Linked DNA regions of Caenorhabditis elegans. The protein of the gene in region 1 interacts with the protein of each later gene in a pairwise test. Each region holds a gene or a part of one and is shown in the gene's direction. Other genes may lie near its edges.

Evidence for each region.
Region 2: the proteins of nhr-69 (region 1) and hlh-34 interact in a two-hybrid assay, tested with the Caenorhabditis elegans proteins (one large-scale study listed by BioGRID).

What each region holds. Positions count from the first base shown.
Region 1 is NC_003279.8:9,878,505-9,883,536, reverse strand, and holds nhr-69 (Nuclear hormone receptor family member nhr-69), read left to right. Parts: upstream 1-2,032; 5' UTR 2,033-2,043; coding exon 2,044-2,200; intron 2,201-2,305; coding exon 2,306-2,371; intron 2,372-2,420; coding exon 2,421-2,563; intron 2,564-2,779; coding exon 2,780-2,935; intron 2,936-3,129; coding exon 3,130-3,275; intron 3,276-3,330; coding exon 3,331-3,510; intron 3,511-3,557; coding exon 3,558-3,663; intron 3,664-3,708; coding exon 3,709-3,807; intron 3,808-4,078; coding exon 4,079-4,147; 3' UTR 4,148-4,354; downstream 4,355-5,032. Other genes in the region: inx-20 (Innexin), read right to left, coding at 4,418-4,554, 4,894-4,986, 5,032-5,032. UniProt on the Caenorhabditis elegans protein: Orphan nuclear receptor which, in cooperation with R-SMAD daf-8, modulates the Insulin/IGF-1-like signaling (IIS) pathway, perhaps by regulating expression of the potassium channel exp-2, which in turn modulates the secretion of insulin-like peptide daf-28.
Region 2 is NC_003283.11:13,705,343-13,709,422, reverse strand, and holds hlh-34 (Helix-loop-helix 34), read left to right. Parts: upstream 1-2,027; 5' UTR 2,028-2,067; coding exon 2,068-2,095; intron 2,096-2,145; coding exon 2,146-2,390; intron 2,391-2,434; coding exon 2,435-2,590; intron 2,591-2,897; coding exon 2,898-3,437; 3' UTR 3,438-3,456; downstream 3,457-4,080. Other genes in the region: T01D3.3 (Thyroglobulin type-1 domain-containing protein), read right to left, coding at 1-570, 743-980, 1,027-1,167, 1,218-1,410, 1,457-1,625, 1,776-1,881, 3,525-3,680, 3,769-3,924. UniProt on the Caenorhabditis elegans protein: Transcription factor. Involved in specifying AVH neuron identity, acting in concert with unc-42. Involved in serotonin-mediated feeding behavior, probably acting by modulating expression of genes involved in glutamate signaling.

The sequences.
Region 1 (5,032 bases):
CTGATCGTATTGTTTTCCGTATGATCTATGAAACATTAAAACTTAGCAACTGTACGTTTTTCTCAATTCCGCCTCTTCCCTTAAAAATAATAAATCAGGTGATTTTTAATGTATTTTGAAATTTGTGTGTCGCATGTTTGTTTTCGTTGTCACTCTCACTTTACGTCTGAAAAGGAATTTTAATCGATTTTTCGAAGATCAAATTGTCAACCGTTTTCATTTTTGGCTTCAGTGGTAGGCAGGCATGTCGTCAGGACAGGCGATCGTGCCTTGCATACCTGCCGCCTATTTTCTGCATTCTGACGGGAAGCGCGGTGTTTCGTGCGATTTTCAAACAATGTTTGCGATTTTTGAGCGAAAGATACGGTGCCGGGTCTTGACACGACAAAAAAAATGATAAAAATTAACAGAGAAACTGAGAAAATACACGAGTGAAAAACACAATCTCATGGGAAATTTATAAAAATAAGAATTTAACAAAAGTTTGTCGTGCCGAGACCGGCTACCGTATTTTCGGCGCAATAATACCCGACAGTTCATAAGCCGGGTTTTTCAGAATGGGAGTCAAAAAAGGGTTACTGTAGCAGTAGTGTCCAATACATTCGCTTGTAAAGTACGGTACAAGGTGACCATCGGAAAGAACGGAAAATGTGAGAAGCTATTAAAATTACAATAAATCACATTTTTGAGATATCTGTTGTTTTCCATAACTCTTCATATTCATATTATTTCAAGTAAAAATCAGTTTGTCAAAATCAAAAAACAAACATCAAAAAACAAAAACTATAAAGATTCATTTTTTTGATAGTTTTTGACATTAACTACGTTGATTTTAACCGAATCTATCTAAATAAGTCAACCAGGCGAGTTTTAATGTTAAATTCAAAAAATTTAGCAAAAATGCTCGAAAAATTCAGCTGAAAATTGAAAAATCCTATTCTCCTCGAGAGACTGCGTAAATCCATCGCGACCAGCTCTTCCATTTCTAGACATGAGTTCGGAAGCCCGGGATTTGTAAAACCTGTAAATGAACCAAATCATTCTCAACCCCTCCCGTTCGAACTTCGAATGAGCTGCGTTTTCTTAAACTGAAATTCCAGAAATTACAGTCGTCTTTCAATATTGTATTCCCGATCTCTGCAAGACCCTTATCAGTCCTTCTATAAATTTCTCATTTTCTCTACCCACTCTCTCATTTTATAATTGTCTTTTCGTCGTTTCTTTCACATGTTTGTCACTTCTTTGCCCCCTTCTTCCCGCCATTCTTATCAAACACCCATCATACGCTCTCCAATACAATGTATTCTTTTTCTTCTTTTTCCAATCATTTTCCTGCTTCTTCATACTCTCTTTTTTTGTTCTTCACACACGTTTTAAGGATCATTGACAATTTGAAATCAGGAAGATCAGTTTTTATGAAGTCGGGTACAAAGAAGGATAGACTAAACTAGAATTTTGTTCTAGAAAAGTTTCAACTAGAAATTGAGATACTTTATTAAATGTTCAGATTTGAAAAATCTCTATGTTTTCCACCCTGGCATATACATATATACCGACATACGTGCCTACAGGCCAATGGCGCGCGGAATATGCCCACCAGTAATTCTACATGAGCCAGGGAGTTCTCATAGTATCTGAAATTTGAAAATGGAGGTAAAAAATTAGGCAAATTGCAACTTTCGAACAGTTTTTCGGACGAATAAAGGTTATTTTCCAATAAAACAAAAAATGCGATATATTCTGTCACCAAATTTAAATAAAAAATATCGAGAGAACATGCCACACTGGTTTGCTTTAGGTTTCCTATTCCTGCATTTCTGTAAATTAAATTATGTCTTTTCATGAGTAGGTGGTCTTCAAAGCTGCCTTGTAGGCACGTAGGTAGGCCTATCTAGGCTTAGATCTATGTAAGATCTAGTTTTTGGACATCTAATTTGAATTTAAACTTGCTCATCAAATATTCTATTCCGCTTCTTCCTACTTTTTATTATTGATTCATATTATCTAATAGAGCACAATTACATAAATATTTAGACAAAAAGTATGGTCGAAGAAATATGTCATATTTGCAACGACAAATCAACTGGTAAACACTACGGGGCAATCAGTTGTGATGGATGTAAAGGATTCTTTCGACGAAGTATTCGCAAACGATATCATTATCAATGCAGATTTGAACAAAATTGTGATGTTACCAAAAGTATGTTTATAGTTTTTAAAGTTTTTGGGCCGTTGGTTTCTGAAATTTCCAAAAGCAAGTCGGTCCTCCAATGTAATAAATATGTAATATTTCCTCTTATTTCAGATAAACGGAACGCATGTCGAGCATGTAGACTTCAAAAATGTGTAAAAGCGGGAATGAAGAGTAATGGTGAGATCATTCCAATACTTTTTTATAAAAATAGCCTGTACTATTTCAGCAATTCAAAATGAACGGGATGCAATTGGAAAACGGAAAAAGACTACGGGAGCTGAAAAAGAAGATTTGATAGATCAACTTGTTGCCGCAGAAACATTATGTCAGCAATTAAGGTCCAGTGTAATCAAGAATACATCTTCACTTGTAAGTTTGATTGGGATTAAACGCAGTGCTTCAAATTTCGTCAAGAGGGATTTCTTTCAATTTGGAAAGTTCTTGATTTTCTTTACTTAAGAAACACGGTTTAATTATGCCGGAATTTGTACCTGGTGGTTCTTTTTCCGCCCCCAGAAAAATCTGTTTTCTAGTTTCACCTCTTGATCTCAGTCAATAATCACATTGAATCCACGTGTTTTACAGGCACCATACGACTGTGGAAAAGTTAAATGGAATTATGAAGATGCGAGAGCTGCCACATTGGATGATATTGGAAAATCGATTCATCAACAATTGGTTCTTTTTATCGAATGGGCGAAGTCATTACCTCAATTCTCGTTTTTGGCTCAAGCAGATCAGGTATGATTTTTTTTCTATGAAAAATTTCAGAAAAATATTTGTTAGATGATTTTTTTTTTGATAAAATCAAAAACAACAGAGATATTATTTAGCTGTCATAGTAGCGAGTTTAATACTGAAAATACTGCAATTACTTGTTTCATACTTTCTTTTTTAAAAAATGACGACTTCTAGCAACAATTTCATAATTCCAGGCAGCTCTTCTCAAAGGCGGTGCCGCGTCAATAATTGTACTTGGAGTAGCATATCGATCGATTTGTCTGACAGTTGAAAATACAATTTGCCTTGCAAATGACACACTTCTTCCAAAAGAACATGCAACACAAGTGGGAGATATCAAGTGAGTATATTCTCATTTCATATCTGTATTCTCAGGTTTTGTACAGTCATTTCAGTTGTGTCGTCGGACGAATTATTGATGAAATTGTGAATCCAATGAGGAGGTTAAATATGGATTTAATTGAATATGTTGCACTGAAAGCTATTCTGTTTTTCAATCCAGTCGTCAGAGAAATCAACGATCAGAGTCCGGTGGAGAACGCCCGATATGCTTTTTTGAGGTCATTGCAGAGAAGGTTTATTTGACAATACTAGCTTCTATAACAAATGTAATATATTTCAGGTGTACTGACAAGGCACTTGAAAATATGGAAGACGAATCAATGGATTGCAGAAGTGGAAAGCTTTTGTTATTACTTCCATCACTTCAGGCTATTGCTCAACAATTGGTTAGTTACAATTGTTATTCAAATTAGTAATTTATGAATTTAAAGGTAGAAGATGTCCAACTTGCTCGTTTGTTCGGTCTCGTGAATGTCGATTCGTTAATGGAAGAACTTATTCTAAATGATATGAAACCTTCAGATCCACAGGTAATTTTTATTTTGAAAAGCAGAACAATGAAAGGAATATCTTAGTTATTGGCAACTTTCAAAACCTAAATCCTGAGCCCGGGGAATTTTATTTCAAACTCTTCCAAATGTGGAATATGCACAACAAATTTTGTTTAGTCTATCTAAGGAGAATAGGTCAATAAATATGCGGATTTCTTTTGTGCTTTGTGACTGTTAAGCTTATGGTGGTTTTGTGGAAGACCCTAATAAGTTCCAGAGACAATTTCAATCTCACAATTTTTGTTTTCAGATATTACAAACGAGTCTGGCATCACCGGTGAACTCGTCCGTTAAAGCAGAAGTTGAATTGGAAGAATAGTTTCCAATTTTCCAATATTTTATATTCAAGAGACCATAATCTCATCTTGCCTCCCTTCCTGCTCAAACCATCTAAATACTTCCAAACTTTGACTTCTAGAAATCGGGTCCCAACGGACACATTACTTACCTGCTCAAACCACCTCATTGTTTCCTTTTTCTATGTTGGTTTTATTATTATTTTAATAATTATTATTTCATGTCATGCAAATATTTGAAATTGTAACAACAATTAATTCGGTATCAGGAAAACAACAAAATATTGAAATTATTATACATTCGCAGCTGAAGCCATTCGGCTGCTTGGAGGTCGAAGGAATTGAGGAGCTGGTGTAGTTGGAGATTGATCCAAATGTAAATCTTCTCGACTCATGAGAGGAACCAAAACTGATGTTTTCCGTCGCAGACCTGAAAAGGGTGCATAGTATTCAGGCAAATGAGAACAAGTCTAAAATGTATTTATTTTTCATAAGCTATGAATGATACTAACACCTCTCGGAAATAGTTTCTCTTTGAAACTGACTCAAATTTTGCGAGACTCTTTTTTAACCGGATCATACTTTTTTAAACGGCAGAACAAATTTGCATTAACTAGATGAGCACCTTTATGATAATCAGTCTGAACATCTAGGTCTAGCCATCACAAAAAAAGACCGAGAATGCGTAATTCCAAATTGTTCGGTGGAAGAAAATGCATGATTCTTAGTACGCTTGGTCAGGTAATTCACTACGTTCTTGAAAACTTACTTGGTTCAATAGATAAACCACCAGCAGAAGCAGATCTATCATAGTCGTCACCGTAACTTTTATCTTCCAAAATCTCTCTGATTGTTGCATGTCCTAAAAATATATCCTATAAAAGAATATAATTCAAGTTCTACTAACC
Region 2 (4,080 bases), on another chromosome or scaffold:
ACACATCCTGAAAAACATTGTCCGGAGCCACATCGACCCAGAGGGTTCGCACATGATCTTGAGCAATGCAGAGCTCCGCATTGACTCCATTCTTTTCTTGGATCCGGGCAAGATTGGGATGCTGGAACGCTTGCAGTTGATGGTGGAATTGATTTTCTAGAACATAATTGAGGGAGAATGCATGTGGAGTTTGGATCCTTCGAATCGGCAAGAACATACGGAAGTCGACAGAAACATCCAGGTTCACAAGAAAGAGCACAGTCAATTGACGCTGCTTGTGAAAGAGGTCGATCACAAGATGCAGGGCACTTGCTTCCACAGCTTTGATAGTTTTTCAATGGATGTTCACAGTGTTGCTCGGGAATAAGAGTGGGAAGTTTTTGTTGTGAAGTTGTTAATCCACGAGTGGTAGTAGTGAATACGGGAGATGGTGTAGCTCTTGGGGAGGTTGGATATTGAATATTCGTATTTCCAAAACTTCCAATCATTCCAGGATTACGCTGCACAAATTGCTCAACTATTTCTGGCGCTGGTGTTGGGATTTCGGGGCACGAAGATGGAAGAATGCATCTGAAAATAGACCAATTTTAAAGTTTCTGTTACGGTTTAATCGAGTTTTGTCCATTCGGTTCAAAATCTTGTTAAAGTTTTCCCAATGTGAATATTTTTCTTGTAAAAGTAATATAAAAATGGAGAATTTTTTTTAAATCAGCAGCCACTTCCGAGTTTAAGCTTAACCTACCTTGAATGAAGAGGATCGTCTGCATTTTCAAGGATAAACGGAATTTTACAGAAGCATCCAGTCACACATCTCTCATTACATCTCGGTTGATTTCTTGTAGCACAACTAATTGGGCATGCACTTCCACATGTCTGATATTGCCTTTTCTCGTCTGCACAACGAATCGTCAGATCATAAGCTTGACACAAGCCTCGCGGAACACATGCTGAACGGGGAGAGCTGTCACGTCGGATGTATCCTAGCAATGATGAAGAGTTAATATATAGTTAACTATCGAAAGTTACCTGGTAGGCAAATGCATCCAGGTTGGCATCCGGGAGCCGGGCAAGCTGGTGTTGAAGGATCTTGACATGATGGTTGACAAGAGGAGAAACATGCTGAATATTGCTCATTCGCGCCACATACCATGGCAATCGTTGGGTTTACTGAAAAAATGTAAAATGTTATAAGAAGCTAGTTTAGGCAGACAACAGACTTTCATTAGAAATAGGTTCGTTCATTATTTTTGTTAATGCTGGTAAGCAAGCGTGATAGTTAGAGTTAGTTATGGAACCGGGGCAACATTTAGATCCCCGTTCACATTCAGAATCACAGAAGCAACGGGTTAGTGTGGTTATAGAAGTGTTCAACGGGAGGGGGCATTCTCCAGGTGATGTACTCTTGCATGTCTGTAAATATGTCTTGAATTTTTGAAATTAGAGAACTGATTGATACCTCTTCCCTTTCTTTTTGTTCTCTTAATAATGCAGCAGCTTTCAATGCAAGATTTTCTTGTTTTCTTCTCACAGTTTCACATCCCTTTTCGTCTTTGCTTTCTTTTCCGGATAATCTTCTTCCATACCTTGTCACGCACCAACAAACTTCTGTTCCAGCCAAGCATTGTCTGAAATTGGGTTTATTGTAGTCTGATAGTGAGATGTCTGTGATGCTACAAATATTTTTGAGAATATTGGGTATCTTCAGCTAAATTTGAAACTTTGTAACTAATACTGTTCTCACTATGTTCCTATTCAATATCTGAATTCCCTTTTACCTTCTTCTCCATGCCAATCCACTTTCCTCACATAGTGGTATCGCTTGTCCAACAATTTCCAACGATCTAAGCTCATCGAGAAGCTCTCGTCTCCTCATTGCACATGCTACAAAAATTTGAAATAGACAAAGAGGGGAGAATTCAATTGTATGTCATATTGTGTAATTAGTTTGGCTCTCGAATGGCATGATCTGCATGCTAATTATATATTATGAGAGCTTGTACATATTGGGTCATTCATTTATTTTTTATATGTATTTTATTTGTCGCTTGACTTATAACCACTTGAGAAATGGAGACTAATCTTTCTGAAGAAAAACGTAAGCAATTTTAGAAAATATGTTTTGAAAGAAACAAATCAATATTTTAGAAAAACCGTCAAAATCACAAGCCCAGCAGAGAAGACAAATGGAAAATTATGAATTCTCACAGCTAGCCAATGAACTTCCATTGGCAAGAGCAATTTCTGGACAGCATATTGATAAAACAACGATGGTTAGATTAGCAACTGCTTATATCAAACTTCACAATATATTTGGGCAATCTCAAAGAGCCTACAGTTCAGCTGACTATTATTATGGAAGTGACTCTTTATGGACTAACAATCATTTAGATGTAAGGATGGTTTTTTACCGTTTTTTTTTTAATTTCAATTTCAGCTACTAGATGGATTCTTTGTGATACTGGACAGGCGCGGAGATGTACTTTACATAAGTGAAACTATTAGTATTTACTTGGGCTTGTCACAAGTTGAAATGACTGGCAACGCGATGGTTGATTATATTCATGAACAGGATATCAATTGCTTTAACTCGGTAACTTTTAAGTTTTTGATTTAACATAATTAAATTCAGGAAAAATATTTTATTATAGTTACAAGTTTTGAACTTTCACAAAAACATCCTGAAATCAAGTATGGAAAGAAGTTTAAGCTTACAGCTGTAGCCTAATTAAGTTGCAATAATTTTTAAAACATTTTTTAAAAATATATATTATTTTTAATATATATTTTTAATTTTTTTTCTGTTTTTTAAAAGCAACTCCTAACTGGAATCATTTTGGAGTCATTTTCGCACAATCTCAGAGAATTTTTTGACTAAATGTAGTAATTTCTCTTTACAGGCCCTTAACTATTGTGACCTTAATTGGCCTCAAATGTGCAACGTACGTGTTAAATCTAGTCTCACAAAGCGAGCAAACAAGGATGCAGTTCGTGCTTCACCTGGATACAAGGTTCTTCGTCTAGAAATTACAATGGGTCCAAATACAAATACTAGAATGATTGCATGTTATCCAATGCCTACTCCAGTTCTTTCTACAGTAACCATTCCTTCTAATTCATTTGTTATCATTACATCCATCGATCTTCATATAACATTTGCTGATGAAAAAGCTCATCAGTTGCTTAATAACCCATTTTACCCAGATTCAAATATCAAAGGAATGTCATTATATTCACTGATTGATATCTCAGATTCTGAAGTTATATCAAAAATGCATTTCGATATTTTCAACCTGGGCGCTTATAAAACCCCGTACTATCGAATGATCTTGAATCAAACAAGTGAAACTTTTTACGTCGAGTCAAATATTTTTCGTCATACTTCGATTTCCTCTAAACAGTTTAATGACTCGATCACATTTGTTTCCTCAATTCTATGACCTCCAACTTTATTTTATTTCTTTTTTTATTACGCTAATTTCAAAGAAGATAAACACTTTGGTTTCAAATTTAAAAAATAAACGCACTTTTACAACATTTTCCCTCGATGCAAAGTTCTTCTTGATGAGTACAATCCTCATCTCTTGAGCACCTTTTTGACCATCTAGATTCATCTGGACATGGCTCATCAGCTGGGGGATCCGATGTGATATTTAATGGTCTTTTTGGTTTAGGACTAGTTGCTGAGAAATAGTGCAGTGTGTTAGATTATGTTAGTAAAAGTATTGATAGTTAATTGTAGGCAAAAAATAAAACAAGATAGAAACTCACGTTCTCGTTGAAGAGAAAATGTTGGCAAAACGTTGGGACAGCAAAATCCATTATCACAGATTTCGCCAATAAAACAGTCATCCTGCATACGGCATCGATAGTATGAATATCTACTGTCTGCACAATGTCGACATGATCCTTCGGCTTCACATAATCCTAAAAAAAATAAGCAGTTAAAACTATCGATTATGTGGTAGGCAGGCACATCTGCAGGTATCATACCTGCGTAACTTTCGTAGTTTTTTGTGAAGTTCGGTTTTTTTTTTTTGATTTTCTTATTTTAGCATTAGTGTGGGTCTTTTTTCTCAGTTT